Arabidopsis thaliana: one gene and its partners. The protein of the gene in region 4 interacts with the protein of the main gene of each other region in a pairwise test. Each region holds a gene or a part of one and is shown on either strand. Other genes may lie near its edges. The genes, in order: AT2G22425, AT1G27290, AT2G27290 and AT5G43420.

The links.
Region 1: the proteins of AT5G43420 (region 4) and AT2G22425 interact in a protein complementation assay, tested with the Arabidopsis thaliana proteins (one large-scale study listed by BioGRID).
Region 2: the proteins of AT5G43420 (region 4) and AT1G27290 interact in a protein complementation assay, tested with the Arabidopsis thaliana proteins (one large-scale study listed by BioGRID).
Region 3: the proteins of AT5G43420 (region 4) and AT2G27290 interact in a protein complementation assay, tested with the Arabidopsis thaliana proteins (one large-scale study listed by BioGRID).

Annotation. Positions count from the first base shown.
Region 1 is NC_003071.7:9,511,236-9,518,947, reverse strand, and holds AT2G22425 (Microsomal signal peptidase 12 kDa subunit (SPC12)), read right to left. Parts: upstream 4,254-7,712; 5' UTR 3,960-4,253; intron 3,876-3,959; 5' UTR 3,870-3,875; coding exon 3,591-3,869; 3' UTR 3,274-3,590; downstream 1-3,273. Other genes in the region: AT2G22426 (uncharacterized protein), read right to left, coding at 1,719-1,931; AT2G22420 (Peroxidase superfamily protein), read right to left, coding at 4,464-5,057, 5,129-5,320, 5,404-5,607. UniProt on the Arabidopsis thaliana protein: Component of the signal peptidase complex (SPC) which catalyzes the cleavage of N-terminal signal sequences from nascent proteins as they are translocated into the lumen of the endoplasmic reticulum. Dispensable for SPC enzymatic activity.
Region 2 is NC_003070.9:9,477,156-9,485,610, reverse strand, and holds AT1G27290 (uncharacterized protein), read right to left. Parts: upstream 4,207-8,455; 5' UTR 3,824-4,206; coding exon 3,412-3,823; intron 3,052-3,411; coding exon 3,035-3,051; 3' UTR 2,619-3,034; downstream 1-2,618. Other genes in the region: NTF2A (nuclear transport factor 2A), read left to right, coding at 1-117, 925-996; AT1G27300 (uncharacterized protein), read right to left, coding at 1,417-1,878, 2,147-2,287.
Region 3 is NC_003071.7:11,674,870-11,682,990, forward strand, and holds AT2G27290 (FAM210B-like protein, putative (DUF1279)), read right to left. Parts: upstream 5,051-8,121; 5' UTR 4,897-5,050; coding exon 4,660-4,896; intron 4,174-4,659; coding exon 3,976-4,173; intron 3,888-3,975; coding exon 3,717-3,887; 3' UTR 3,436-3,716; downstream 1-3,435. Other genes in the region: AT2G27280 (coiled-coil protein (DUF2040)), read right to left, coding at 1-57, 160-744; AT2G27285 (nuclear speckle splicing regulatory-like protein (DUF2040)), read right to left, coding at 1,210-1,680, 2,009-2,227, 2,660-2,782, 2,870-3,028; NTL8 (NTM1-like 8), read right to left, coding at 5,548-5,922, 6,309-6,506, 6,579-6,832, 6,906-7,086.
Region 4 is NC_003076.8:17,445,114-17,453,672, reverse strand, and holds AT5G43420 (RING/U-box superfamily protein), read right to left. Parts: upstream 2,186-8,559; 5' UTR 1,884-2,185; coding exon 756-1,883; 3' UTR 549-755; downstream 1-548. Other genes in the region: ETFBETA (electron transfer flavoprotein beta), read right to left, coding at 1-110.

The DNA of each region.
Region 1 (7,712 bases), on a different chromosome or scaffold from region 4:
ACGTTGGAAATGGTTTAAGAGACTAAATCTAAGTTAACCAAACTTAATTTAATGAAATATAAAATCGCAGCAAGAAAATACGTTGTTAACTAGCTACTGCAAAGACTTTTAGCGACCCTTTTTTATATATTCTGTAACTTTCGTATAAAGACTATCGAGACCTAAACTATTATTTAATAGCACTAAACTATTACTAGCAAGAAAAAACAAAGAAGAAAGAGTTGAGAAACTTGTATCTAATTAACACATAAAAAAACAGCATGGTTACTGAAAAGAAAGGGAAACTTAAATCTAACACAACATGTCAAGTTGTCAACGTGTATGCAAATGTTTACTGGTAATATGATTTTCAAAGAAAGAAGTCACGCCCAATATGAGCGATGAAGGATTTTTAGGTTCGGTTAGAACTTAGAAGTGGATTTAAAAATTAAAAATTAAAATAAGAAAATGATGCTTGGAAGGTTCAAAATATTTACCTTATGAGAGATGAAGGATTTTACCACTAGTCCAATGAGGTTTTAGTATAAATCGACCGCTTAAAACTACATTATAACTAAAACCATAAAACTAAATTTGAGTCTGGTAGTAATCTTAAATTTAGTGTTACAGTTTTGTGTAGATTATTTTTTCGTTTTTTTCTTGAAGAAAGCTTTAATTTTTATCAAAAAAAAAGAAAATACATTTATAGAATTAACAAGATATTTTCGTCCAATCGGATTATTACTTAATTACAAATTTTGCATTATGCTATAGTTAAATTAAAATTTGACAGTTTTAGTGTACTTATTTGCAGAATAAGATTTCCAAATATTTTAGACACCCGTGTTTTCGAGGGCCCGCTTGTAGAAAATCAAAAGCTCACAATAGCATCGATGGTGAAACGTTTTCAATATTTCAACTAATATCATATAGTAATATTTAAAAAAGCATATTGTCCTAAATTTTCAAAGATGATTGTATATTTTATTCAAAGATAAAGATATACAGCTTTGCAGTCACATTAATTTATCAAATTAGAAAATTTGAGATGTGATCGTACCAATGGTCTCTTTCAAGACTTTTAACTCTGAAAACTTTCAAAATTCTAATTTGGGAAATTTAGACTTAGTTGCAAATATTCTCTAAATTGCTTAATTCACAGTCAATTTTCATCGAATTTATTTTTTTAGTTTCTTGTTATTTAATATACAACTCAATCTAAGTTAAAATACAAAAAAAAATGATTAATCACAAAGTTTAGGTAAGTGTTAAAAAAAATTGAATACGATTAGTAAGACCCATTGAAGGAGACAGCTTATACGGCTCGTATCGGCTTAAAAGATTAGCTAAGTATAGTATAATTTGTCTTGTCTCGAAGTATATGGCACGTGTCGGTTATTGCAAGTGGTCCAGAGGGAATAGAACGAGTCAGCAATTAATGGGACCTATCTCTTTTTTTGTTTGCAGATATTCAAAGTCAAAAAATTCGGCCTTTTAATAAAAAAAACATTTTTGGCCAAAAAGAAAACTTTATTGCTGGCTAAGAAAAAAGATAAAAACTTTATCATATGCATGTGTCTTTACATATGCACACAACCAGTTTACTTTATATGTAGAGATTTACTAAGAGTTAGACGTGATTAAATTCTTTCTACTTTTTTTTTTTTACTTTAACATCCAATATATTTTTATCAATTTAGTTGTATAATTCCACCGCAAATTCAGTATTTTAACAAGTACTATACATTATAGAGAAAAGAAGAAAGAAGAAAGAAGAAGAGTCGCTGTCGCTCCGGTGAGGATTTGTCTGAGAGCGGCGATGTCTCGTGCTTGAGAATGCTACTTCCCTTTGCTGTCTCCATCAACACTTCCCGCTTCCCACACGCCACGCCAATATCTCTCTTTTCTATCCGTTGATTTCTTTGACTTTTCCACCTCTTTTTTATATGCATTTTAAAAAATAAAAAGAACTTACAAATTTTGTTTACTATCTTGCGGAAAAAAGTATAAACATATAAAACAATTACAAAATTGAATTTTTTTATGTTTTCACTTTTCACTGGTATCTTAGGTCAGATTCTGTAAATTTATGTATCTTGATTGATTATCGTTTTCTTAATTGTTATATCAATACTTATGCTTAGATTTACGTATAAACTACTATAATGTATAATCTCATCGAAGTTAGGATAAGCATATAGATATATTCGTCAATCCCCAAAAATGCTTCGATGGTCAATGTCTCACAGTCTCAGTGAATGCAACAAAGTTACTTAATGAGTGAATAACACAGAGGACAACAGAAGATCTACGTTAAACACGGATCTAGTAAACGTGTCTATTATCTCATGAATATATCAGTCTTGTAAACTTTTTTTTTATATTAATTGTGTGTGAGAAATCACAAAACCTTTATTGTGTTGAATGTTGGACACAAAAATGTGGTATCGTAAAACAATTATTTGATGGGCTTTAAACAGGCCCTTTCATATTTATTGATGGGCTGAAGCTCAAATAAGATCCAAATGAACAGACAAAACCAAACAGAAAAGACTTCTCAATGTCCAATGAAGAATTATGGAGTCAACTTGTTATGTCTTGCGTATGTTTCCCAAATTTTCTTGTCCTATTCTCTTATGGAGTATTAGAGTAATATGCTTATTGTATGGTTTTTCAGGTTCACAACCTTTTACCCAATTCACACAGAAACCTCTTTTCTTGACCACATTGGTAATGACACTAGCCGAGCATTCAAGATATACGTTTGTCATATATACCTTGTATTTGATTTTGTCTCTAGAGTTGACTAGTTTCTTACAATCACTGAATTTTCCTCTATTGTTTATCCACATGATGTATTTTTTTTGCGATACCATGTAGATTTTGGCTATTGCTACTTCCGGAGAGCTCTCTCTTTGTTTGTGAATTTGCTTCATCCTTCTGGTGAAGGTATACTTTTCATATCCTCTGCTTCTTCCTAATGCTGACCTAACTAAACCACTCCTTTTTCTCCACAGCTCATTTACAAGCATCCTGCCAAATGTTGGTTCTCTCAAATTCTGATTCCAAACCTGTACGCGTTCGCTGATTCAACTGTCATTTCGTTTCATAAGCCTATGACCTACCTTTAAGCGTTCGCGTTCGCCAGATGACTCGAATCTCCCGGAATATGAACCCGTGCAAATCCTCTGACCAGCGACTAGCGGAACAGTTTGGAATCACACAAACTATTTCTACTTCGACTCAAGAAAATAAGAAGGAGCAAAGCATCAAAGACTAGCATTGGTTTTTGCACACAAGCTTAACACAGAGTGTAAATGGATGGTGTGATATTTATGTACCATTTTCATAAAAACTGAGACTTTTGTGATTCATAAGACTTTTTCATCTAAAACTCTCTGATGATAGATAATCTACACAATTCAGTGAAATTGCCAGATTACAGCCATAGCCATTGATTCAAAAGCAAATTCCTTTGGCAAAAACAGATAATTATAAGAATCAACCCAGAATATTCAATTCATAATTAAGATTCCGATCCACAAATATCTCATACAAACAATTCTGAGAGAGAGAGAGAGAGAGAGAGAGAGAGAGATTCAGAATCAGACCTATTTCTTAGAGAATTTCTTCTTCGAAGCAACACTGACAACTTCTGGTTTGGGATGCTTCTCGGCTTCGCTCGGATCTAACCATTTGAGAGGATGAAGATTGTAGAAAGGCCAATTAGGTACAGTAACCAAAGTCGTGAGAACAACACCACCGGCATAGATCAGCATCATCGTCCTGAACGATTCCGTTGTGTAGCCAACAACCACCGCTACAACGCCGGAGATCACCAGTAAGATCTGCATCAGCTGCTCCACCAGTTTCTGTCCTTGCCAATCCATTTTCTTCTACACAACGAAATCAAAAACCATTAGCGATTTGAATCCAAAGTTAAACAAAAGAGAGAATCTGAGAACCCTAATTGCACAAACCTTTAGCGATCTGATCTCTCACTGAATCTGTAAACCTGATTTTCAACAATGGGGAAGAAAAGAAAGGACTCTTGACATTTATGAGCTAAGACCACAAAATCGGTTTAAAAGTAAACCGGATAAAGTGGACGGTCAGATTACTCTATAACCGGGTGAACCGGCGGTTTTTAATGTGCCTTAATTATTTCGAGATTTTGTATATGTGCAAATTCTGAAACCTTGAAACAAGGAATATTTACATTTAAGTTTCTTTGTGTGTACCTCAGAATTAGAATGTTGCTACTTGTCCAGTCCATAATTTGTTTATTGGGACAACAACTTCAGTGATTAGATAATGTTTACTATTTTATAGACTGGTGTGACCAGATTGTAGCTTTAGCAGTGACCAGTATTCATAAACCAAAATCAAAGTTTTGGAGAACCAAGATCCATGGCATGTAGCTAAAAAGATTTGCATCAATTTAGAAGTCATAATTAAGATTTCTTCTCTTTACTAATGATAATTCAAGATACAAGCAATACATCAATAGGCCTTCTATTAACAACTCTACAATTAAACCTAATCTCACCAGGTCTCCCAGATTGCAAATCACCCAACTTCACCATGCCTTCTGCAAAAGCCCTAAAGAACTCATCTTGATCCTCACTAAACATCTTCACATACTCTCTCGTCACTAGATTCGTGTACAAAGTCTGATCAGAGTTAAGAAACCCTCTCCCTGAAACCAAGTCTTTGAAATACTGATTATCAAAAACCTGAGGTGTTGCATCTAGATCTCCAGTCACATTCTCATCTCCACCCAAAGGACAAAGCTTATCAAGCTTCTTACGGTAACTCGGTTCAAGAGCTGGATCCGGTTTACCAGAACCGGATTGGTTATAAAGTCTGAACATGATTGAAAAACACCGACCTTGACCTATTGAGTGTGACCCTGATAAAGCAACCATGTCTTTTACAGAAAGATTGAATCTTTCGAAGAGATCAATCAAGAAAGTTGCGTTGGCTCTTGGACTTGGCATTATATCGTCGGAATCTTGCTGACTCGCTGTTAAACTGTCTTTCCTCCCTAGCTTCACTTCCCAATCTGGTCCTCCTGTCTGGTTTTTTCAAAGACCAAAATTACAAAACCGAGATTTCACTAAACCGGGGAAATTGAATTTTGACTTACAAGAGCAACGGCGTCACGAGCGGCCATGATAACGATATCGGCACAAGAAACAGTAGCTGGACAAGCTTTCTCTAGAGCTTCTTTAATGTCGTCAACGACTTCGAAAGATCTTAGTGAATCGATGTTGGAAAGTGATAGTTTTTCACCAAGCATGTTTGGTGTGTCGTCAAGCAACAGAGATGCGTCACATCCCTGAATTTGATGATTCAAAGAAAAATTCAGAGAGGAAAACAGAGTAAAGATCAAGAACAGAGAGAAAGATTTATAGTGTTTACATTGACGAAACAGTCGTGAAATTGGAAACGCATGACGGAAGCGACGCTTCTTGCTTCTTTGATCATTGCTTTCTTCATTTCTCTTCTTACTATGGATTCAGCTTCAGGGCATGTCTCGCTGTAGAATCTTGGTCGGAGAGTTTCTCCAGTAACAACCACCGTCAAAAGTGTTAGGTAGAGGATGAGATGGGGAAGAAGAGACATACTTTTTTCTTTTTTGGTGTTGTGTTTCAGTGATTGAAGAAGAAGTAGAGACTTTGTTTGTTGGGTTATAAAGAGGTTTTTGGTGGTTTTCGAGAATGATACTAAAGGCTTTTGTGTTTATAGATGGAATTTGTGCAAGTGTGGTCTCTGGTGGTGGTGGGCATTCCAATTTCTATAATTTATTTCTTTAATAAATAGAAATAAATAAATAAATAAATAAAGAAATAAATTTTCTAATTATAGAATTGGTGCCAATGGGGGATTAGTGTAGTAATTTGGTAAAATTATGGGTTTGTGAAATTATTGAATGATGAATCTGAAGTAATGTTAAATGTTTGTTAAGTTTGGATTATTGCAGTGTATATTAGCTGGCAAAAATAAAGAAGATAAAAGGATAATTGATCAAATTTTTTTTATAAAGGTGTGAAACTTTTGTACGTAATTGTTAAAATTGGTAAAACATCCATTATACAGTATTTAGATGAACAGTACTACTCTCTTTGTTTATTATTGTATTTTGTAGGAAATTTTTTTGATTCGAAAAGATAGTCATTTTTAAAATTTCTATGCAATATTTATTACTAGTTATTATTGATGTGTAAACTTCAAGAAGAATAATATATTTCTAATCAACTTTTAATATGTTTTTTAAGATGTGTGAAAATCCTAAAAATACATTAATAAGAAACATCTTATGAAAAATAATTACTATTAAAAACATCTTAAGAAAAATCTAAATATATATTCATAACATACAAAAATAATTACTACTCCATATTAATAAGATACATTAATACTAATAGTGATTATTTTTGTATAATATGAATAGTTAGATTTTTGTTATTGTATTCAACAACTAGTTAAATATTTATACAAGAATTTTGTTTATGTAACGTATACAAGAAATAATGCTATAATTAATACTATTGATAACAATAATGAAAAAATTGTACTATTTATGAAATGCGAATGATCTAGCTAGAACCAAACATTAATCCTGGTCAATGTTCATAATCAAATAGTGTAACTAACACACATTTATTGATAGGCTTTTAAAGGTCACGATGAATTTGTGAGTGAATTATTCAACTCTTGATTTTAAACCTAACGTATGGTCAAGGCACTTTTTGACTTTGTAAAAAGCATACAAAACCTTATCTTCACATTCACGTTGGTTGGCCAAATAATTCATACTATATTTTTTTTTACAAAAAAGCATGCATCTTTTATTCATTTATTGTTTAATACTTTAATGTGATCAGTGTCGTCGTAGTGCTCAATGCTATAGTTACTCTACGGCTAATAATTTAAGGATAAAATTAATAAATTAAGATAAAAAGATTAGCAATATAATTCTAAATTATGCATAATTTACTTAAAATTTAGATGTCAATTTTTGTTTTGATTTTTTGTATTTTGTTATATAACAACACTTTAGTGGATAAAATATTATAGTGAGTTGGTGTCTTGAGATAAGAGAATTGTTGTGAGAAAGGGAGGCAACAATTTCAGGCCATTGGTTCATATTTTTTAGCAATCAAACAAGAAATTATCTGAAACTCGAAAAGTGACTGACACTACGGAAGTCGTCATCATCATGACCTTGCGTTCTGAAACTCTAAAAGGTACTGATACGTTGCCGTTTTTAAGAGATTATGTTGTCCCCATCTTTAGTTGTCAATTTTTGGTTGAACCAAAAAAAGAGGTTGTCAATTTTCGTATGCAAATTTATTACACTTCGGAGAAACGGTCACAATTAATTAATACATAGGACTCGGAAGGTATCTAGTTTCCTAAGAAATTTATAGAATTCGAAATCAGGAAATGGGACGCACATGGAGGTCATTGTATTTGAGGTTCACCAAACCAATCCTTACCAAAAGAAGAGAGGATATCAATAAATATTGACCCACATTTTAATTCATTAAATATGGGTTTTTTAATATTCCTTCCGTTTAATAAAGAGTATCATTTTGACATATTCACACAATTTTTTTTAATTATGTATATATTTGTTTCTGTTTAACAAATAATAAATAATTTATTAGTTTTAGGTTAATGTTAAATCAAAAAAACTCAGTGTATAAATCATGTTGAAAAATGTA
Region 2 (8,455 bases), on a different chromosome or scaffold from region 4:
AAGCACAACATCACCACCGTCGATTGTCAGCCTTCTGGTCCCGCCGGTGGTATGCTCGTCTTTGTCTCCGGCAATCTTCAGCTCGCTGGTGAACAACACGCTCTCAAGTTCAGCCAGGTTTTTTTTTGCCTTATCTCTTTCCCTTGGGTTTAGATCACTTCGATTTTTAGTGTTTCCTTTGTATTCCTCGCTGTTGATCATGTACGATAGGGTTTTTATCCTTACTGCTCTGTAGATTGATGTGTGTATTAGGTCACTAAAAGCTTCAATGATCTGGAATTGTCTCGAAATTTTAGACCCTCCCTGATGCATTTAGTGATAGATCTGTGATAAGGTTGGAGATAAAAGAGGTTTCCCCCAAATGATTGCGTAGATCAGTAGATGTAATCTTGTGTCATTTAGATTTTGTCTTGTGGAGCTTCTATCTCCTTGCACTTCGTGAATGTAGTATTGGGAAACTGCTTTGCCATGATTCTGCTAGTTTTTTTCAACTATGCTCATATGTGATCTTGTTGTAGTTGTAGATATGCCACCTTCTTGATTAAATTGTCTCAACTCTAAATAGTTTGAGATGCTTGCAGTGTTTGTATCATCTGCCGTAAGACATTGTTTTCTCTTTTTAGTGTTGAACGCTCTTTACTAGATTTGTTCGATAAGAGATGTTTTTGTCATTTTAGTTCTTCATATCAAGGTACTAATTGTGTTTTGTTATCATATTTGTATGAACATCAAACTTGTGGAATGTATGTATAGAGCAAAGTGGGATGAATTTCTGTCAACTTGACCTACTTGTAATGAGCTACGTATGCATCTCTTGTGTTGTGAATCACGCACTGGATCACTATATGATTGTAACATAAATCTGATGACTGCTTGTTGTTTGGATTTTGCCTGATTCCTGACATACTTGTGTTTTGTGTCCAGATGTTCCATTTGATATCGAATCAGGGAAACTACTACGTGTTCAATGACATATTCAGGTTGAACTATGCCTGAGGAATTTGATGCCAGAGGTACATGGAACCATTATTGGAAGCTGAAAAGAGAGTGGTGGAAAGTTTGGGACTATTCAAAAACTGTTTGAGTTGGTTTTAGATTTGGAACATTAAGCTTTGTTTCAGGTGGTTTGCTGTCTGTTTTTATTTTAATCAATGGAGCTATTTGTTACTTTGTTTGAGATGACTCCTTTTGTTTTCGGGCACTGAACCATGATTCAGTAAGGGTAAAACAAAAGATTTTTTGAAATACGGTTCTCTTTTGGAACCCTTTTTCATGTGGAAAAGTTTGAGAAAGCAACTATTCTTTCGCATTTTGATCATATAAAAGTAAACTACTTATACTAAAAGCAAAGAAACAATGAGGGTGACCCCTGTTCCTAAATAACAACTGGTATTATTGAGTCACAAAGGGAAGCTATCATTCTTCATCGTCGAAACCGAATTCTCGCAACAGCTCGGGCACTTGAAGTTGAGGTCCAGTGTGTGATCCATTCCCATGGTTGTTTTGGTCATTGGAGTTGGAAGTCCCCGCAAGTTGGTTCTTGATTGGACGTAACTTACCTTTGAACATTCCATTAAGCATACCTCCGATGGATCTGACTGGGTGGCTTATTCTATCTTTCAACATGAAAATCATGGAGTACTCAGAGAGCTGCCAAACCAATGTCAGGATGATCGTAGCCGAGAGAAGTACATGGGTTATTTTGTTCTGCTTCTTCACCTTCTTGATGTCTTTAGCTATTTCTTCTATACTTTCTTCCAATTGTCTCTGGCCCTCGCTTTTTCCTTTGGATGGTGAAGAATCTGCAGATTCTTCTTCTTTTTCTTCTTCTTCTCCGGTTATGACATCTTCTTTCCCCTTGGGGTTTGGTGATTCCAACTAAGTTATTGGCAAAAAAATTAGCACAAGCCTGAAATGGACACATCCCAATACAAATAATGTTGTGGACATGAAACAGCAACTAAACACAATCATGAAGATAAGCTTGTATTTGTTGGATCTCATCAAAATCGAAGCAGACACATCACAGCGAAACAATTACACAGACTCACTCAAATACTCATGATTCAATCATATACCCAGAAAGTTGATTGGCTGCAACATCAGATAAATCAACAAAGGAGAAAACAGAGCGATGGTAAAGTACCTGAGAGATAAGGCTAGAGAGGAAAAGCTGATCATCAGCGTCTTCAATGAAGGCGTCACCAGAAGCTTCTCTCTTCCTCTTCTCATGAAGAAGCTTCTCAATAGCTCTACTCAGATTCTCCACATCCTCACTGGACTCCATTTCACAAACCCTTCTTCTCTAATCTCACCGCCGCTCCAAAGATGCGTTTGTTGTTTATTGTGTTTTTTTAGGTAGAGAGTATTTTTGTTTGTATTGAGAAGGCAAGTCAGGACACGTGACATCTATTGACGGCACGGCACCTCTACCATTTTTGAGCAATTTGACATTGAGATGTGCAAATAGCGTATAGTCCTCCACTAAATAAATATACTTAAACAATAATAAAACATGTAATAACACACACAACTCTGCACGACTAAACCTCGATTCACACTAGATTCCGTGTGAACTTGAAGAGACAATTATTTAAAACCATAAAAGAGATCAAGAATGAGCAAATATTGTAAGAAGATTTAAAGGAAGAGATATCAACACAGAGTGTTTCGAAAATGCAAGGAAATCGAAAGAAGTGCAACAGAAATCCTAAAATCTTTTTGTATGCTTTAAGAAATGATCATGTTACATAAAAACGACATACATGAAAGCACAAATAACAAGGCTTCTCTATTTCTAACAGTAGTTAAATAGAAAAATTCTTTTTTCGAAATGTAAAGAAATATAAAACTCCCTGATATCCACATGATTTTCCCAAACCCCCCCAACAAAATACAGATAAAGAACATAGAAAAACTCTATCGGATATATGTGTTTATATAATCAATCCTTCTTCTTCTTTTTTTTGTTCTGCTTCGCTCTGCTCTGCTTCCGGATGATGTATAGATTCTTCACCTCTGTTGTTTAATCATTTCACAGAAGCTTCCATTCTGCGAATAGACATGTCAAACACAAACATTATTGCAAGAACATGAAACTAATACAAACATAGGTTTAATTTCAGACAACAAAAGTAATGTGAACATGAATAATATGATCCACGAGGAAACAAAAGAACAATATCGTTTCAGTCAAAGACAGAACAAACATCGGTGTGCTTTTCAATAAAACCCTAATTCGAACCTCCATTTCTATCAAAATAAGGACAGAACCAAAACCCAGTGGAATCATTTCTAGATGATCAATAAGGAAACTTTGGTTAAAATCTAAACAGATCCGAGACGAAAGTAGAAAGCTTGAATCATTGAAACCAATTTGACAAACTTAACCCTAAAATTCAACAAAATTACCAGAAATCTCCTTTCCGGAAGGAGAAGGTGGCGTCAAGACGTAACAGAGAATCGACCTCCCGACCATAGAAATGGCAGAAACGATGCCAGCGACATAGAAAACCAAAATCAGAGCAAGAACCCAAGGCATCAAGAGAAACCCGATGAAGAAAGTCACAGATCCACATAGCATAAGAGCCACAGATATACCAAGCAGCAACGACGCGAATCCAGACGGAGAAATATGAGCCAAAGAAGGCGAAGAAGACGAAAAACGATGCGAAGAAAAGGGAGGACGAATTCTAGCGGGCGGATCGGGGAAATGATCAGGTAAAGAAATCGGCATAGGAGGAGAACGGAGAAGATTCAAAACAAGAGATGATAGATCGTAGAAAACCCTAGATTGTTGTTCATCTCGTTGCCTTCTCATCATCACCACACAAACCAAAAGAAAACACCAATCTAATCCAAAAGAAAAATTGCTTGAGGAAGAAGATAACTAAAGGGTTTGCTAAAACCGAGGCGAGAAGATAAAAGAAAGAGCCGCAAATTTGATTGGGTTAGAGGGAAGAAGGTTTAATGGCGATTGCCAACAAAACACGATAATCTCTCTGTACACACAACAAAAACGATCGAAATTTCTGCAATAAAAGACTTTTTTTTTTTTATTAATGAAAAAAATCTAAAATGAAGAATCGTCGTGTTTTGGATAACGAGAAAAAGTAAAGGGAAGGAGCGTGGGGACACGCGATGGGGTTGGCGAGTGAAGAAGGGAAAGAGACAAAGATGGGACCCAGTTATGACGCGTAGTTGGGTCTTATCTTCTACCACATTCTTATCTAACCTCTCTCTCTATTAAATTTGTTCCAATCATACCAGAGAAGTCGTTTTCTTGTTTGCTTTTTGTTTAATTTTTTTGGTTATTTAATTTTGACTTTCGTGTATAATGTTCGTGAATCAAATAAAGACTGATAGCTTTTTGCGAGAATGACCGCACTTTAAGCTGTCTATCGCTGAGGTTCAAAAATCAGGCTACTTGCTGTTGGAAAATGAAAGGATTTGTGAAATGATTAGTAGACTCAAGATATTATCATTAAGGTCCATGATGAATTATTCAAACAAATTAGATGAAGTTACCATTCGATTAAAACCCATTTAAGTTTCACAAGTCATATAACTAAAATTGTTTTGCTCAGGGCCCAGTATGAAAAATCAAACCAAAACTAAGAAACAAGTGAAAGTGCAAAGCAAAATAGCCCACAAAGAAGAAACATAAACCACGAAGCAGCTTCGGTTGCCCTTTAATGAGTTCAGTTATCTATGGAAATACAGATACTGATGACAAGCAATTGCAACATCAATTCAGAGAAAGAGAGAGGATTACAAATGTGAAGCAGAAGCCCTCCTATTATTCTAGTAACAGAGCTTATCCAGTGACCTCTTTTACTTATTCAGTTCCATCTAAAGAGCTAAGCTTCGATCCAAAAAGAACACACATGTTCAAACATGTGACGCATTCAAAGAAACAGTGGCAGCAAGAACCTTGAAGTATCGCAAATGAAGGGAAAGTAAGCACATGATCAAACTATAGTATTGAAGGCTGAATAATTCATTAGATGATATAATTACAATATATATAGGGACTACATTAGAATGAATTAGGGATTAATGATTTACTAAACTATCCTTTACTTATATACTCTACATGCCCCCTCAAGATGGAGGGAGTTTGCTCACTCCAATCTTGCTTGAAAACTGAAGAAAGTGTTGACGAGGCAATGGCTTGGTTAGAGCATCGGCAAGTTGGTCATGTGTTGATATGTGAGAGACTCGTAGTGCACCGGCACTCACATTGTCGCGAATAAAATGATAGTCCAATGCTAGATGCTTCATTCTTGAATGGAAAACCGGATTTGCAGAGAGATATGTGGCACCAACATTGTCACAATATATCACAGGCATCTTTGGTAATGTGATGCCTAACTCAGTAAGAAGAGAGCATACCCATCTAATTTCTGAAGTTGTGTTTGCAACAGCCCTGTACTCGGCCTCGGTGGAAGAACGTGCGACTCCCTTTTGTTTCTTCGAGCTCCAAGCTATGGGTGTAGAGCCAAGATACACAATATATGCATTGGTGGAAACAAAATCGTCATTGTCCCCAGCCCAATCAGCATCGGAGAATGCATGAAGCGAGAGAGGAGAGTTTGAGCGAAGTAATATACCATGAGTAGCAGTTCCCGCAAGATATCGAAGGACGCGTTTTGCAGCCTGCCAATGAATGTCTGTGGGACGATGCATAAATTGTGATAATCGATTCACAGCATACGCAATATCCGGTCGTGTAAACGCCAAGTATTGCAAGCTGCCGATCACTGTCCTGTATTCTCCGGGTTCGTCTAGAGCAATGCCAGAGTAGAGTGAAAGTTTAGGATGTGTCGCCATTGGTGTGGACACCGGTTTGGCATCTAACATCTTCATCCTAGACAACAAGTCATAAACATATTTATGCTGCATCAAATGAAGACCTTGTGAGGTTCTTGTTGCCTCTATACCAAGAAAATATACCAAATCCGTCGGGTCCTTCAACGAGAATCGCCGAGAAAGAGCGGTGATGAAAGCCATTACCAACGCATCACTACTTCCCGTGACAATAATGTCATCAACATAGACCAAGCAGTAGACGATTTGGATGTCGTTGATGTAAACAAACACTGATGTATCAGCGAGAGAATTGGTGAATCCCAACGAGCAAACAAAATTTCTCAACTCTTGGTACCAAGCGCGTGGAGCCTGTTTCAGGCCATAAAGCGCCTTCTTAAGGCGACAAACGTGGTGTGGTCGATCGGGGTCGATAAAACCAGGTGGTTGTGTGACGTACACCTCATCCGTCAATGTACCTTGAAGAAAAGCGTTGTTTACGTCTAGTTGTTTAATTGTCCATGAGCGAGACACTGCCAATTGTAGAACTAGGCGAATTGTGAGAGATTTAACCACAGGACTGAAAGTTTCAGAGTAATGGAGTCCATATTGCTGCCGAAAACCTCGAGCCACCAATCTTGCTTTATACCTGTCAAGAGTACCATTAGGAAGATATTTTAGTGTAAAAATCCACTTTGTGGAAATAACATTTTGATTTGGTTTTGGTGGAACCAATTCAAATGTATTATTCCGTATTTGGGCATTGATTTCTTCTCCCATAGCGTTCCTCCATTTTTCATCTCGTAAAGCCTGGTTCACCGTGTTTGGTATTTGAGGTCGGGTTTGAACTGTTTTTGCTAGGAGGGAGAGTTTCGTTTTGGGCTTGGTTATATGATTTTTAGCTCGGGTTCGCATTGGGTGGTTGTTTGTCGGAGGTGGTGGTGGTGGATTTGGGACTGTGGACGTGGCGGAGGTAGAAGACGATGGTGAAGATTCTGGGCTAGAATTTTGAGGTGTTGGTGACGGGCTCGGATTGGGCTCATTTTGGGTTTGGATGGATGAGCTTGGATTAGAATTATTTTGGCTTTGGGCTGAAGAACTGCTTGTTGGGCCTATGAAATTATTCCTGTTATCCACTTGTGTGTTATCTTTCGATACCACAACATCATTATTCGTCGAGGACGAAGACGATGAAGTTTCAGCATTTGGCCGGCGGTGAGAATCTGAGCTTAGGGGCGGCAGCGACGACGGAGCTTGTACGAGTGGCGGAGATGATGACTGAATCGGAATGCGAGATGGGGGTTGGTGACATGAAGGGGAAGCTTCTTCTGGGCTTGAATTAGAAACTGAATGGGTATCGGAGATGGAAAAAGGAAATTGATCCTCAACAAACTGGACATGTCTTGAAGTGTAGACACGACCAGAGCTTCTATCAAGGCATAAATATGCACTTTGGGTTAAGGAATACCCGAGAAATACACACGGCTGTGACCTTCTTTCCAATTTGTGATTGGTATATGGGCGGAGCCATGGGAAGCACGAACATCCAAAAACTCTTAATTTGAGGTAATTTGGTGAAGTCTTGAAGAGCTTCGAATACGGCGATTCATTATTGAGCACAGAACTGGGCAAGCGATTTATGAGGTAAACCGCAGTTCCAAACGCATATGTCCAATATGAAGTTGGAATAGAGGCTTGAGTGAGAAGAGTTAACCCGGTTTCGAGGATGTGACGATGTTTTCGTTCTGCAATTCCATTGTGTTCCGGCGTGTGAGGAAGAGAGGTCAAGTGTGAAATGCCGTGTGTTAGCAGGAATTGTCGTAGCGCAATGAATTCTCCACCGTTGTCAGAATATAATGTTCGGATTTTGGTTTGAAAACGATTCTCCACTAGAGCTTTGAACGCCACAAAAGTCTCCCGTACTTGTGATTTTTGTTTCAATGGGTACAGCCATGTATATCGGGTATAATGATCAACAAGGATTAAATAATATTTAAAGTTGTCGACAGATGTAACTGGAGAAGTCCAGACATCAGAGTAAACGTATTCAAGAGGTGTGTAGGAGATAATTGTGTTTGAATAAAACGGAAGCTTATGGCTTTTATTAATGAGACAATGAGAACAAGGAAAATGTTTTTGAGAGGAATTTGAAACTGGTAAAGAAAACTGAGAAACAAGGGATTTTAAAACAGGCGGAGACGGGTGACCAAGCCTTGAATGCCATGAAGGAAGTGTTGTTTTTGGTGTAGGTGAAGCGAATAAAGAGATGGGTGTGTTTGAAGGAACTGGCCACTCGTATAACTCGTCTTTAGTTCTGCCTTGGAGTAACCGGGCCCCCGTGCTGAGATCCTTCACCTGAAAGTGGGCAGGAAAGAATTCCACAGAAACCTTATTAGCATTGCACAATTTGTAAACTGAAATCAGATTTTTGTGCAGGTTGGGAACATATAGAATATTGTTTAAAGCAAGGGAACGAGATTGAGTAGAGAGAGTTGATGAACCAGTGTGAGTGATCGGAAGAGTAGAGCCATCAGCAATTGTGACTTCTTCTCCACCATTGTAAGGTTGATGAAGAGCAAGGTTGTTCAAATCTGTGGTAAGATGGTGTGTTGCTCCGCTATCAAGAAGCCAAGGATTGTACGACATG
Region 3 (8,121 bases), on a different chromosome or scaffold from region 4:
ATCGTATGCAAAAGCAGAAGGATCCTCCTCTATAGCTTTCTTATGCTGCTTCTCAATCTACATCAACACAACAAAATCACTTATCAAGAAGATAAAATTGAATGGGTACATAAGAAACAGAGTCAGAATGATGAGGTAATTATATGTTTATAACCATACCTTTTTAAGAGACTTGGTCTTTGAAGCTTGTCGAGAAATCTCCTTCTCCACATCGTTTTCTTCATCATCCTCACCAAATATTGAAGCAGTCCGAAGTAGAGGTCGAGATGATGATTGCTTTTTCTGTGACGGAGCCCTAATTTGCAGTCCGTACTTCTTAATCTTTACTGTTGCTTGCTTTACACTCTCCTTCTCCTCTTCCTTCAACCTCTCCTTGGCGTCCGTAACAGCAGTGATGATCGCATTCACAGCCTTGTCTTTCACTAGAAAATTGCTCTTCTTCCCAACAAATTCAAAGACTTTCTCCAAGAACCCTAATGGATCTGAAGGATCAAAACTTGCATTAAACGGCAATGTCGAGGGTCTAACCTTCTCCACATCCATGGACTCCGTCTTCTTCTCCGTTTCCCTCAACCTCTCCTTTGCGGTAGTAACAGCATCGGTGATCTCTTTCTCAGCCGTGTCTTTCCTCAGAAAGTTACTCTCTTTCCCAATAAAGTCAAGGACATTCTCTAAAAACCCTAATGGGTTTGAAGGATTAAAACTTGCACTAAAAGGTAACGTCGAGAGTCTCGCCTCCTCCATCTCAGAATCAATCGCCAATAGGTTCGTTTATAGCTATAGATTTTTTGCACTAGTCAGGAATAAAAAATCAGAATGAATTTCTTTGGTCGTCAGTGGCTAAAAAACAATGCTTGGGTCTTTCCATTTAATTCTCTGTCAAATCCCAATTTCTAAGGTTTCCATTTTCCTCAAATTCTAGCTTTCAAAGTTTCCTTTTTCCTCAATTTTCTAACTTTTACTTTTTCCTATATACCATTCAATTTGATCCACTAGGACATTTAAACTGACCCTGACAATGTGCATCTCAACGTAGGGGATTTTTCTTTGTTCGTTCTCTTCTTTATTAACCATCAAACCTATTGCATTTGTAATGGAAGTAGACCCTGTAATATAAGAAGCGTTATCTTGAAAAGTTACTTATAAAAAAGAGGGTGGTCGATAATCAGAAGAAGACAAGTTCACCAAGATTTAACTATTGGACTGAAATCAGCCAAGTTGCACATACTCTTCAATTTTTGCCTTCTTACGGGCCAGGAACCTCTCTTTAGCGGCAGCGATCGCATCCTCTCTTCTCTTCTGGTCGTTAATGGCTTTCGGCACTTCTTTTGCTGCCTCTTTGATTGATGACTTTCTCTCTTCAGTGCCATCTGAACCCATCTCCTTTTCAGAAACTGCTTGCTCTGCTTCTAGTGGCTCCAAACTTTTGCTACGACTTGATCCAAATTCTCCCGAGTCAGGAGATACTTCCTTCTCCGGTGATTTTCGTTTCTTCTCTACCCTTGTTACTTCTTTTCTCAGCTCCTCGAGCTTCTCTGCCTTTCTTTGTTCCTCGAGCTTCTCTGCCTTTCTTTGTTCCTCGAGCTTCTCTGCCTCTTTAGCTTCGACTTCTCGAGCTCCAAAAGCGACATTTTTTCCAATGTTGAAGTAGAAATCACTCAAATCTTTCTTCTTAGTAACCTAACAGAAGATGAAAACAAAGGAAAAGAGCTGACATGAGTATTAATAGCTATAAAAACAAATCACTTTAATTTTACCAAAGCTATATGCTATATATCTCCCCATTGCTAATACAGAGACATGAAAATGGTTTCTAGACCCACCCATCATGTCCTAAAAGCCACCACATGCAAACTACCTTGACACAGTTCCCAAACCAAAGCTACTTAAGACAGAAACGTAAAAGGACAAAGATAGGACTTCAGCTATCCTAGCAAGTACTAGTTTAATAGACGAGAGAGATAGAAACACAAACATGAAATAAAATGAACAAGGAAACAGAACTTACATCATCTCTTTCCTCACGAAGTTCACGCAATCTTTCTTCTGCCAGCCATTTCTTTTGTTCCTCAAGTTTCCTTTTATAAGCGCCAGTAACAAACTTTTCTTTATCCGAAAAAAGATGTTCGTCTTTCTCCCTCTCTTTCGCAAGCTTTCTCTCATAAACTATCTCATGTTCTTTCTCTCTACGTTCTGCCTGTTTCATCAAATTCTGTATATACCTTGGCTGCAATTAGAAAAAGAAAACTAAATGAAACATAAGCAATCCAATAAGTCATTCTGAAACCTAATTAAAGTGCCCCAACTACAGAGAATGTAACACCATAAGAAACTACTAAAACTGACGCATGTAGAGGCTCAGAAACTTCACCTCTACTTAACTAAAACAAAGTAACTAAGCTTTACACTTTTTGGTAACTATATGTAGCCATGGGTTATAGGCTGGTAGTTGTTAGGGTATTGCAGGATATCAAGATTTTGGTGGTTTCTAAGGGTAATAAGAAAATCCAGCTAAGTTATGGCTTCCTATACTTCAATCATATGATAAACCAAGCCCGACACAGATCATAGATTCCTCTTAAGAACATGGAAACATAGATTTTGATTCCCTAAGCTACAGAAGCTTCAAGTCTTAAGCTCTCTAAGAGATAAACATTACCTTGCGTTCTTCACGATCTTGCATTCGAGGAAGAACAGCTTTCTGTTTCATATCATCATAAACTTCATCATATGAAAAAGCAGAAGGATCCTCCTCTAAGGCTTTCTTATGCTGCTCCTCAATCTAAAACACACAATCACTTATCAAGCAGATCAAATTGAAGGAAATATAAGAAACAAGAACTCGAGTCAGTGGAGGAAAAAAGCTTACTTCTTTATGAGCTTTGGTCTTTGTTGCTTGACGAGAAATCTCCTTCTCGACGTCGTGATCTTCTTCTTCATCAAATATTGAAGCGGGTCGAAGTGGAGGTCGAGATGATGATTGTTTTTTCTGGGAAGGAGCTCTGATTTGCAATCCGTACTTCTTCATCTTCGATTTCTATTCCAGGAGCAACAAACTTCTGCAAAATCGATTGAAAATTAGCGCAATTCCTGCGAAGTCCCAGATTCTGGAAAAACACTAATCAAACCCAAGCATGAAATAGGTAGATTTCGCTGTAGAATCGATTAGGGTTACAATTCACAAAAGTTGATTGGTGTGATTTTCCCAGGATTAAGGAATTTAGTAATCCATGGAAGAAAGTGAAAGAGGAAGGGAGGAGATAAAAAGATCCAATTAACTATAGATGGTATAGATGATTACGGCCCAATTGTTACGGCCCAATGTTTTCATATTTTGATGGGCCGAGATAATGAGGTTCTAGAGTACAAGTTAAAATGCATCACCAAAACGATCGAGGTCATATGCTCTGGATCACAGAGATCATTCCCAACCATTTGACAACTACTTCTCCCACTTACCAAATGTCTAGAGGTTAGTGAATCGTGAAGTCGTAATTTCCAACCAACCACATATTAAATAGACAAGTCTAAAACTATATCACAACTTGGATTCTGCCACTCTTTGGTTCTGTATCTTTCTAACTCATCATCATATTCAGATATGCTTCAATCTTTTTTGTACATACAAGGTAGAGAAGTGAGGATTGTACAGGATTATGTATGTTGATTATCAAGTAATATATAGAACATCTACATTATAATACCTCCAAAGTAAGCTACTTGTCATCATCCTTCTCCTTGTCCACTTTCTTCCCAATCCAATTGGCTACAATAGGAGTCAAAGCCACTGTAGGCGGAAACCTTATCGGAGATGCAGCTTTATGCGCTGCGTAAGCCAAAGCAAAGGCTCCTACTTTCTCTCCTGTCTCATTCGTCGAAATCCCAACCTTAAACACAAAACATCAAAATCAGCTTTACTCAACCCAAGATCAAGAAAACATAAACTTAGTATGATCAAGAAGTGAAAGTAGTAACCTTTAGAAGAAGAGCTTGAACATCAACACCGGAAGTCACAAGGACATAGCAGAGTGAGAAGGAAATGAGAGAAAGAGTAATAGATGTAGCGAGATAAGCACCACCATACTTTGCAAGTAACTCTTTAGCCTCATCTGTTTTTGATTTCTTCTTCTTATTGTCTCCATCACTTCCTTCATCATCCTTAGAGCTTAATATCTAATCACAAGTCCATCCAAAACACCATTTTACTACACAAAAACTTCCATAGATTCTACAACTTCCAAAAATGCTCCAAACTAACCAATCACATATGCTCACTTGTTGATAAAAAAAAACACCATTTTAGCATAGTTAAAAGCTTACATAACTTCTACAACTACCACGAAAACGATCATATCTACTCACATAATCATCTAAACACCATTTTAGTACCCTTAGAAGCTTCCATAGCTTCAACAACTACAAAATTGCTCACATAATCATACAAAACACCATTTTAGTTACACTTAAAGCTTCAATAGCTTCTACTAATACCAAAATTGCTCTGAATTAGCCTATCATTCAGCTCAGAAACAATCATATGTCCTCACATGTTCATCCAAAAACACTATTTTACTTACACTTAAAGCTTCCATAGCGATAGAATCATCAATTTTAGATTACGAATTAAAACGAGAAATTGCGCAATCGAATTGATTTTACCTTCCATAGACCAACTTCAAGGCCATATTTCTTGGTAACTTCTTCGGCGGAAGGAGGAGGAGGAGAAGAAGACGGCGGCGAAATGTTCTTATCAATGTCCTCCGCCTTCTCACGGACGGCTCTGCATCTGAATTTCTTCGAGGAAGCTGAAACTGAAGAGTGGAAGAATCGGATTTGAAGGTTTCTGGTGTTCAACAAGGAAGACGAAGGAGGAATTTGCAGAAGCATCATCGCCATTGTTTTTTTCAGCCACCAAAAAAAACAGAAAGCAAATCTTTTCACCTTATTATTTTTATTTATTGTATGACACACAATTATTTTTTATTTTTTTCTGAAGGTATACCATTTGTTGTATTAGAGGTTCCAGAGTAATCTTTTACATATATAAAACTTTAATATAGTATAAAAAATCCATAAGTAAGAAAAATATTTTTAGACTATTTTATAAATATAAAAAACTACAAACAACATTTGTTTGATTCTCAGGCGTTTATATTTTGAACTGAAACTTTTGTATATCTAAACATAGTCTAAAATAATTTATTTTACTTATGGATTTTGTATAATTTATTACAATTGTATATAACTAAGAATATCACTTTGCAATCTCTAATACAACAAACAGCAAAACTTAAGGAAATGGTGGTATTATTCACATTTACTATATGTGAAATTTGTTGTCTCTATTTTCACGGAACTATCATCTCTTTCCCAAAGCTTTCACCCAGATTATAAAGGTTTACTATCCGAAAATATTCTCTTTTCCATAAAAATTTTGGTTTGTACACAAGTTTGAATAATTGTTAAGACTAGCTCAACATGCCATATTGCCATAGACCAAATACTATATTTATTTATGTATAAATAATATGTATGTCGTAACTAGCTTTAGTTCCTAGCTATTAATACAGTCCAAAAGAAAGAAAATAAGATAGCCAAGAAAACAGTAGTGGCCAGAACATTCTTCATCAATCTCTGGCTATCATCTTTCTTGATTTTGAACGGGTTCGGGAATCTCCAGCTGGAGTCGGTTCCGGCAACGTTCTTGATCCTGAACAAAGCGTAACAATTCATTGTTTCCGTTGATTCTTTTTTTATACCACATTTTGACCTCTTACTCGATGACTCGCTTGATATTGTTTCTTGATGAGTTGGATTAGTTGGTCGAAACGCTTGGCTAGCTTTCAACGCTTCTTCGTCGAGCTTTATTATATCATCGTTCAGAATCTCGGCGTAACAATCATCATCGGTATCGGCCTGATCCTGCATCGCAATAGAAAGAGATCAACTTCAGTTACAAACTCTAAACTCTACCAGTACAAGAAAACTAAGGATGTTCAGCCCAAGTGTTGGTTTAGTCTATTGAGTTATAATATTAGTAGCCAAAATAAAAACCAAACATTGGATATATTGGTTTGTTACGTTTTAAGTTTAGAATCTGCTTTAGTAAAATAACAACTTTAGTGAAATCTAATGTACTATGAATCCGTTATAGTATGGTACTATGGTGTTGGTTTGGTTTTAGTTTCTTAATCGGTTCTGTTTTCGGAACTATATTGAATTTAATGTGGTTTCGATTAAGATTGGAGCGGATAATTTTACCAGTATTAAACATCGTTAAAAGACACATTCCTCAAAAGCAAGCTGACCTCAACAACATTTGATGATTCTGCGATGTCACCATTTGGTATCTGATGCTCAGATTCATAGTAGGATTTGTCCTCCTTCTCCAAACCACCTCTTTGGCCAACGTAGCCATCGTCTTGCACAACACCATCCTCCATTTTTTGGGTCGAACTAGCCCGAAAATCAGCATTTTTTCTTAACCGGCACACCACTAATGCATCCTGTGAAATCCAAATTTCAATATATCTCAAAACATTAAAACTCAACCTATTCAAAATGAAAGTTTTAAGAACCTGTGGGGCTCCATGGATGCAGTATTCATGCATAATCCACTCCGTTCTCTCGCCACGAGGAGCCCGACCGATATGAAATACAAGCGTTCTCTTGGTTCCAACAACTTGGTTCCCGGATTTAACACTCCGCTCTTTACCGGTCGCTTTCCAATATCCTAGCTGTGTGGCTCGCCGGCTTTGTGACCCGTGCGGGTACTTCCTCCCCCTCGCGCAGAAGTAAAACCACTCGTTCTCCGATTTCAGTTTCGATTCCTCTGTTTTATAGGCACAAACATTCAAATTAGTGAACCAAAGTAAACATAAAGAGAAAGAAAACCGAAGTAAAACCTGGCAAGTCCCACGGCTCGAACTTGTAAATCTCGACCTCAGCAATCACAGCAACAGAGTTCTCATCACCATCGATTTTACGACGAAGATAGTACGAGATAAGTTCAACATCAGTAGGAGAGAATCTAAAACCAGGGAACAAAGCCGACACCGCGATCGACATCTCAGCTTCTTTAGACATTGTTTGATCTTTTTGGCTCAGGAACTCGAAAATACTTTGCTTTAGATGAAGAAACATGCCTTATAAATGGCAAGTGTGCAGCTACTTTGCTTCGGGTAAAGGTTTTGTGTTTTTTGATATTTGGCGGCTTCAGAGGGAAAAAGGATGACGTGGACAATGACTGTAAGAATTGGGCGAATAACAGAAGAGTGTAATGAGATAGTAAAGGACAAAAATGATAACGTGGTTATGTATTATTGGACAGAACTCAAACCCAGCTCTGAAGTTCTCTCATTGATGCTTAATAAATCGTCTCTTCATTTTTAAACACGTGTTTCGATATCTTCCTCGGTGTTTGTACCCCGCATGCCAATAAGTTTTTGTTTTTGTTTTTTTGGGTGTAATAACTTATCAAAATGAATTTTTGTTTTTGACGGCAATCAAAATGAATTTAAATCACTTTGTAATTATTTTATTATCTTGCGCCAAGATATTTTCTTTTGTGTAATACAAGTTTTATATGAATCTATTTTATTATTTTTTTGTCGATGAATCTATTTTATTAAATACATTATATTTTTTTATTGCAATTTCTAATCTATTACTTTATTAGCTTACGTCATCATTAACGTTTTAGTTATTTTTAAAATATATAATAAAATCAATAAAATCATATCCTAACTAAACTATATATCCAAATTTGTATCCGTGTAACTTTCTCTAAACTAGTTTTATGTCCTCTAAGCTCATATTGGAACTTATTTGCTTCGAAAGATGGGTGATTAATCTAAACGTGATGGATATAAATTTTAGTGTTCACGTAAGATGATTATGGTTACGGTTATTACGGGTACGGTTTATTAACCATCAGTTACAGTTATAAAATTTTTTAACCTTAACTTTAACCACTATCTATGATTAAAATGATTACGGTTACAACAATTATGATTATATATGGTTATTGTTATTTGATGATTACAATATAGTTAATATTGAAGGCGAAATCTTAAGAATTACCCAAAATATTGTATTGCTTTTAATAAGATGAAAAAGTAT
Region 4 (8,559 bases):
GCGACGAGAATCTTCATTGGCCGGGAACAGCAGAACAAATGAAGCAGTAAGCAATTTTGATTTCTGGATCTAAAGGATGGTGATGATGACTCATCAAAAAGAAATGGCATGGTATTCGGTTTAATCCGGTTTAGATGTCTCGGGTTTCAGTTTTTCCTTTTGCTTCTGTAAAAGGCTGGTTTAGGCCGAAAAAAATAATTGAAAAAATGGGTCATACAATACAACATACCATAATAGGTCTTAGTGGATCAGAGTCCATTACTTCAACAACACTAGTAAAGTCTGATTTAGTACAAAGAGACTTACCAAGTTTGTTAAATCCTTAAAAATCATGGATGGTATTTTTCGTTTTGGCATTTGAATGTTCTATCCAAATCAAGATGAATTTATATGATGTTTGCTTTAACACAACAAAAAACATCAGATAGATGTTTTCAAGGAGATTATGGTTTCTTTGTAATTTGGATATCATTGATTATATGAGGAGGAGATTTTGACGTAGAAGTGTGAAGCCCTCCATGAGTTTTATGTTTAAAAGAAATAATTTTAAGTTTTTCAAACTTGTCCATAATTTCTCTGTCACACATAATACAACTCAACTTTTTTGACTTCTAAATCTAAACACGTCTATATTCTCTCCTACCTCACCGACCAAATAATTTTAAAAATCCATCTCAAAAATATTTGAAAATGAAATAATAGAAATCAAATGTAGAAAGGAACAAGAAAATAAAACAAATAAGCAAAGCGGCTTATTAGGGTTCAAAATAAAGTGGCAATTTAGAGGAACTTCTAGAACGTCTACTGCTCCCAAAAGAGAAGAAAGATCTCTTCACTTTGGAATTACTAACATTGCCACTACTACTGCTACATCCTCCTCCGTCTCCAACCACCAGAACTTCGCGGTTTTTCCGAATCGCCTCTTGAACCGCCAAGTAAAGCTGTCTATCCGCCGATGAATCCATTGAGATTGATCTTCTAATGGGCTGAATACTACCGAACTGTTCGTCTTTACCTCTTCTTATGTCGATGCATTCGTCTCCCATACTCGTCATCTTGTGAAGCTTTCGGAATTTTCTTGGAAGCCCTCCGCGGTCAAGCTTCTTCGGAGATGGACTGATCGAATTTTGGGTGTTTTCGTTCAGTAGATAACCTGAATTTGACCTTTCTTGTCCCGTAAGTAACCTTCCGTGTCTTGGACTATCTCTGTCACTACCGATGCTACTGCCCAGCTCAATGACCACATACTCGTTCTCACCTCTTAACATGACCAGATTCTCGGGAGAAGTGCTCGGCGCAGAAACCCGATCCGGAGGAAAACTTGTGTCACAAGAAACCCTAGTTCTACACAAAGGACAATTGGCGTTGTTCTGAAGCCACACATCGATACAGTCGATATGAAACAAATGAGAACAATTTGGGATAATCCTCAGCTTCTCCTCATCTTGAAACTCACTCAAACAAACAGAGCATTCTTGAGATCTCTTCTCTTCTTCTTCTTCTCCTTCTCCTGTAAAAACGCCGTCGTTTTGGTCGTATCTCTTCTTGAACTTAAAGATTGGGATTGCTCTAATGACGGATTCATCAAGACCGCGGCTTCTAAGCTCTGGAGAGTAAACCATTAAAGGATCTTGGTCGTTGCGTCGCCTTCGAGATAACGAGAATCGACCAAGAATGTCGATTCGGTGCCAGTTGAGACAACATTTGATAACAAAAACATAATAGCTTACAAGTAAAAATGCTGTGGCTAAGATTCCGATCACCGCGACGGCTAAGATCGGAAAACTCGTCCCCGTAGAGCTCGCACGGTGGAAAATAGGTGGCGGCGGAGGAGGAGGAAAGCTCAGATCCCGGAGAGGATTGCGACGGTTTGATAGATCCATTATCTGACTTATAAGAAGAATCTCATCCTCTAATGGAGAACTAAAGAGTAAACTTTGAAAGTTCTTGAAGAAAGAAGATTGGTATAGAAGAAAAACAGAGGAGAGAGGGATTGAGTAAAATGAAAGTTCGGTGAGATTTCTTGGGCTCTTTATATGATTATATTAATATTTTTCTTGATCGGTGTGACTCGTTTACTACAAGAATTCTTTTATATCAAGATTTAAAAGTAGAATTGAATATACAAGTTAAATTTGATTGGTGGGAAAATTGAAAATTTGTTTGTTTATGTACTAGTGGTGGGGAACTTTTTTTATTTAAGAAAAAACCTGACATATATTCGCATTAACTAGGATTTTTTTATATATAAAATTGTTTGCATTGATTGTTATGATTATATAATTTTATCTACGTACCTTTTGGGTTTGGAGTGATGTTGCTTTTGATTCTTGTTATTCATTTTGATTTGATATTTTCTGATAGTGAAATTTCGTCTAAGTAGATATAAATTTGAAATTTTAATTAATGCGATGTAATGATGATATAAATTTTGTCACTAAAACATACCATTTAGCAATTATTAAAATCGATATATTTGTTTATGAATATGATTTATGATCTAACACTATATGATTGTCGGTTGCAATTTAATAATTAGTTGTAGACTTTCTTGTAGTAATGAGGTTACCGATTATAGAATCTTTCAAGTTTCAGATAAATCTCACGTACACATTTTTTTTCTTCTTTTAAATATTGATCATTTCAAATTGTTTTTCTAGTACTGTATACAGTATAAGCTTCACCAAAAACGCAACTTTGAAAATACGTTAGGGTTATATGTTACCATTCTTTTTTTGTCATCCAAAATTTAAGAACTATTAATTGTTTTTCTTTGTTAACTATTAATTGTCACCCATACTATTTAAGAATTTTTTTGTAAAAATATATATTTTATATTATAAAATAACTTAAATGATGAGAGTGGCCGGTTAGTTTTGTTTTATTTATGACAACGTGAGACTGGTTAATCATCCAATTCATCAGAAACAGTATAAAAAAAAACATCCAATTCATCTTAACAACAAAATAAGTAAGTATCCAATTCGATTATATCGTTTCTAGTCTATAGCTAATATGATATATAGGTACGACGAATAAAAGCTTAAAGAGATGAAGATGATTGAAGAGGTTAAAATTAGGATTTTACAATTTTATTTGAGGCATAGACTAATGATTGGAAACGTTTTAAAATAAAAAGTTTAGTAGGACTTTTATAACACGTCCATTTCTAGTCAACATAGATTAATCATTGCTAATTACAAATTCAATAAAAGAAGGGAAAAAATAAAAAGTAAAGGCGCACATGCATTCCACCATACCTTTGTATTCACATAATAGCTTATACTATAATACATTTATACATGCAAACTATATTTTCATATTGATGCTTAGTTAAGTAAATGAGATGGCATTTTTTAAAAGTCAACATTGTTCACCGAATTTTTGAGACGGCTTATTTGGTACACACTCAAAACCATCAAATAGTGATACATCTACTTAAAATTTTAGAGTTGAATGATATCGTAACTCGATCCAAACCTTGATGTAACCAACACAACTCAATCTACTTCAAAGATGATATTCTTGAAATCCAATGTTTGAATACAGTCCATTGTCCATGTAGAAGCCCTTGAGCCTCCGCAACTGACATTTGTTTCGGTAATTTATGTATACGTACCTAGCCGAAGAACCAAGTTTTGATGATATTATGTGTAGTCTATTGCTTTGTATTAGTACAATAACTATATTAGAATTTGAATGTAAATTTTTGAATATGTATACACCAAAACTAAGTAAATATACAACATACACTGCATGTAAAAATTACTAATAATTGAGCTGCAAGATAAATATCATTTTGGTATAACTTTTGTTGATTTCAATTGTCTTTAATAAATTTTTGATATCTTGCTCAATTCATCTTGACAAGAAAAAAGTATACTCTTACACCAACAAACGAAGAGTGTTAAAAAATAAAAAAAAAATAAAAAAACGAATAGTTATGATGTTTTTTATATGAAAATTCAATTTTTATTACAACCAACATAAGAAAAATCATTTTAAATTAACTGCTACATCAATAGTATTTTTATATATCATAAGCGTATTGGAAAATAAAACAAAAATCTAAACATCGGATACTATAACTTTTAAGAAAAATATATATGAAAACTATTTTCTTTTGTTTTCGTAATTACTGCAATGATGCCGATAAGAAAACATTCAAGTAACTTTCATGGTGGGGTATAAAATGGAAGACCATAAAATTGCCTAGTTCCTTTTGGAAAAATCCCGAAGAAAAGTCAAATCTTACACACGATTCCAATTTTCGTTTCCTTTTTGATTTTTCACCATATTTTCTATTACATTCACCACAAAAAGCAAAAGAAAGAATGAAATAGAATATGGACCGACACTGCTTCCGTAGTCTATCGTGTATTCGTGTGTGTATGTTGACGATTGTGTAATTATATTATTCAATAATTAGTATCTTTTTCACATAAGACAATAATAATAAATAAAAAATTGATGGCCTACGCCTACCTTTAAAATGAAATGAAAAGAATAGTTTTAAACTTTTGCTTATATAATAATTTGGCAACGGAATCTTTGTTTCGTTCGTTTCACACTAGTCAAGGTGACAAGGAGAGTCGTAATATATCATTGTTTCTCACTTTCTCTTATTTGTGAACAACTACCAAAACTGTTAAACCTAGCCCCTTTCCTCGGGATCGGCTTAGGCTGGCTAGCAAAGGATTTAAAATTGCATGCAAATTACTTAGGCAACGGGAATATGTTTTTTCCCCCTTAAATAGAGATGAATAAATAAAATTGTGTACCTTCCATACGTATTAAAAACTATAATAGATAAATATTATATAATGATGTATACAAATATTCCATCAAACATTTGTTGGTAAACAAATTATATGTACGTGTTATTATATAGGCATAGCTACATGTGTCTTTTTTGTACTATTGATTACAACTCATGCTCATGCTCATTGCAAATGCTACAATCCAGAGAACTGCACAAATTTCATCAATTACAACTCATGCTCATGCTCATTGCAAATGCTACAATCCACATGGAGAGGACTAAATCTGTTTATCATAAACTTGGTTCATTTCACTATTGTTGCCCTTGTATCACTGGTTTGTTCATGAGTCATGACATATTTATAATTTTATTTGTCTACATTTCAAATAATATAGATAATAGTGTTTCTTTTTTTAATCTGGTAAGAAAATAAAATAAAAGTGTTCGAAGCTACGTGAATTCATTTTGTATAGTTGGTGTGTGATTTCTTTAGCAAAAAAAAATATTGGTGTGTGATTTTTTCACCGCTAATAATTTTTATGACGAAAAATTTGTCAAAGTATTTTCCAATAACGTCATGAAAAGCCATTATATATTACCATACTTTACACATTAATTAATTAGAAGAAGAAGAAAATTCACTTGATAATTCCCTACCATAATATAATATACATGATGATTGCCACATTACAACTTCTGAAATATGAATTAGTAAATATTCTATATTTATTTGAACAAAAAAAAGTATTCTATATTTATAGTAGCATAGTGAATGTACTTCAAGAGTTATTTCAATTCGAGTCTCATTGATAAATCATATGATATGTGTCATATTTAGACAATTTGATATCTTTATTGTTAGAAAACTGTATAATCCTATATGATATGTGTCATATTTAGACAATTTGATCTCTTTATTGTTAGAAATTGCATAATCCTACATGTATTAATATTATGTGCTTATGTTTTTGCTTTATAAGAAATTACAACGTTATCTATTAGGAACCACGCGTAACAAATGGTTGATAAAGTCAAACTAAATCTTCTTTTGACTTTAATCCCAATTGACTTTGACTTGGGACTTATGGTATCATCATTCCACGACTTGCGTTTGGTTTGACGTTTATTTTATACGCAAATGAATGGAATTAGTAGCAACTAGAACGTGATCACTGGTGTGTCACGTGAGTACATCCGATCATATACACACAGTCACATACCACACACGAGAGATATATACTCTTTATTTGAGGATATCTAGTTAAGTAGTTACATTAATCTTATAAAATAAAATTGTAATTAAAGGAAGGTAATCAGTGATTACTGATTAGTGAGATTAAAAAGATTAAAACCCTAAGCCGGTCAACTAGCACATGTGTTATCACGTGCGTAGAAAGTACGATTTGATTACTCATGATTTTTCTTTTGTTTTAAATTTTTATAATAACGCATTGTAAGATTGTTTTTTTTTATTACAAAAAGTATTGCTTTGCATTTTTAATGTATATTTTTACATATTATTTCAATTTATTAAATTGAATAAAATATGTATTGATGTAGTCATCAATAGTATAATCAAAAAAAAAAAAAAATATATTTACTATGTGTAAATTCCAAATGACACTTGAATGAAATTATGAAACATAGGTACGTAATATTTTCCTATCAATTTTAAACAAGAACAAGTTAGATATCTTCAAATCAAAAATCTTGAAATAAAATTTCAATGACGACATTTATCATGCATGTTAGCTCGAATTAATTGCTAATGAACAATGCTAAAGGCTTTTCCTTAGGTTTTTGTAATTCGCAGATCCATCTGAGTTATATGGGCCGAGATATTTTTTCTATTCATAGCCATTAACCAAAAATGTAAGCGTTCAAGAATCTGTATCGAATGTGTAAGGTCCAAAACTTCCTTGTTTAACAAACTCGGTGAATTTTGATTCTTTTTTTTTTTTTTTTTTAATTTCGGTGGAAAAGATTTATCATCTTTTAATCAACGTAATATCATACAAAAAAGGAGATTGGCTATCCATTTATTATAAAAATATCTGTAATTGAGATAAACCTGAAATGGTCATTGAAATCTCATTCAAAAAGAGACCGGTTGTAAATTCCGTATAAGGATTTACAAATGTGAAAAAGTATAGGACGTATTGTTATTTTATTTTGTTCGAGTGTTATAATTAGGGTTACTTAATGGAATATTTACATGGGTGCAAAAAAGAGAGAGGAGAATATAGAAAAAAAGAATCTAAAAAAAAATACTTCCAAAGAGACTACGAAGCAAAACAAAGGTAAAAGAGAAAAAAAAAAGAGCACAAGTAGCCGTAAGTGTACTCAAAACCATAGCTGAAGAATCACTTGAAGTTTGAGGTGTTTTCCAGTAGTAATTCAATTCCAAATTGTTTTGTCATTGACCTAGTGAGCTGATTGATTGAGTGTTGTGTATTTTGATGAGTGATGTCAGTCCGTTCTTTCCAAGTATACTACATAGTGGCTTGGAAAGTAATACAAAGGAGGATGTAGCGTAGTGTGCAACTGATCCTTGGAGGAAGCAGAAACTGCATTTTGAGCGTGTGCAACATGTCAAATTCTACAATATATTGACCATCACTTATAAAATGGCAAATTGCTTGATTTCAAGTAAAGGAGGAAAGACCATTTTTAGTTGCACAAAGCTAGTCTATAGCAAACTAGCAACAATGGATGAAACATGATTTAGCACAGATGTTGATATTGTGTGTCTCGCTTTTAGAAGATTTGGGAGGATATTGTTGAAAACGAATTCTTACATGATTTGGTGAAAAAACACAAATGTAAAATACCCTCAAAGATATTTAAAAGTTTAATAAGATATAAACTATAAAAAATATTAGTTGGTATTCTCTTTATGTAATTATGAAAGTTGTTTGTTTTGCAAAAATAAGTTCGGTACCTTGAAATTTTAATAGAAAGAGGTTCTATAGAGTTTTTTTTTTTTTTTTTTTTTTTCGAAAATCCTGGTTTACATTAACTTTAAACCGGTACAGAATTGATTGCGAGTAAGGCAGCTTTAGCAACTGCATCTGCCTTACAATTGTTTTCTCTCTTGACAAATTGAAAGCTAATAGCAACGAAATTGAGAGAGATAAAAAGGATGTCATGTAGAATCCCTTGGAGCTCCTTTGGATGAAGCTCCCTCAAGATTGCTTCGACAAGCTGCTGCGAGTCAGAAGCTACAACAAGTTTTTTGAATCCGCGATTTGACGCCTGTTGGATAGCCGAGAAAAGAGCGATCGCCTCCGCCATTAAGGGGGAAGAAACCTCCCTTGCCACTGCATGATCCTGGATCTCAGAATGATTTGAATTATCCACAAAGATCCATCCCAATCCCGCTTCAAGTGAGTCCTCTCGCCAAGCTGCATCTGTGAAACACAAGATTGCATCCGATTCAACAACCGGCTCAAAAGGGCTGGGAGGCAGAGTCTGAATTCCCTGAGGTAAAGGCTGAGCCAAGAACCACTCTTTTGCAGCCACGATTGCTTGAGATATGACATCTCGGCTCGATAGGTGTTTCTGTTCAAAGACCTTTTTGTTTCTACAGGTCCAGATTGACCAAATAAGCCAAGGGAACAGAGGAAATGGACCTAAGCCTACCGGTGGTAAGCAGATCAGATGTTTAGCCGCCTCAAAGCCCCTCTGAAGATTGGTAAAGGTGAAGGTCGAAAGGGTATTTTTGAAAGGGGCTTGCTCCCAGATCTGTGCAGCAAAAGGACAAAGGAAGAACAGATGAAGACCTGATTCCTCTGCAC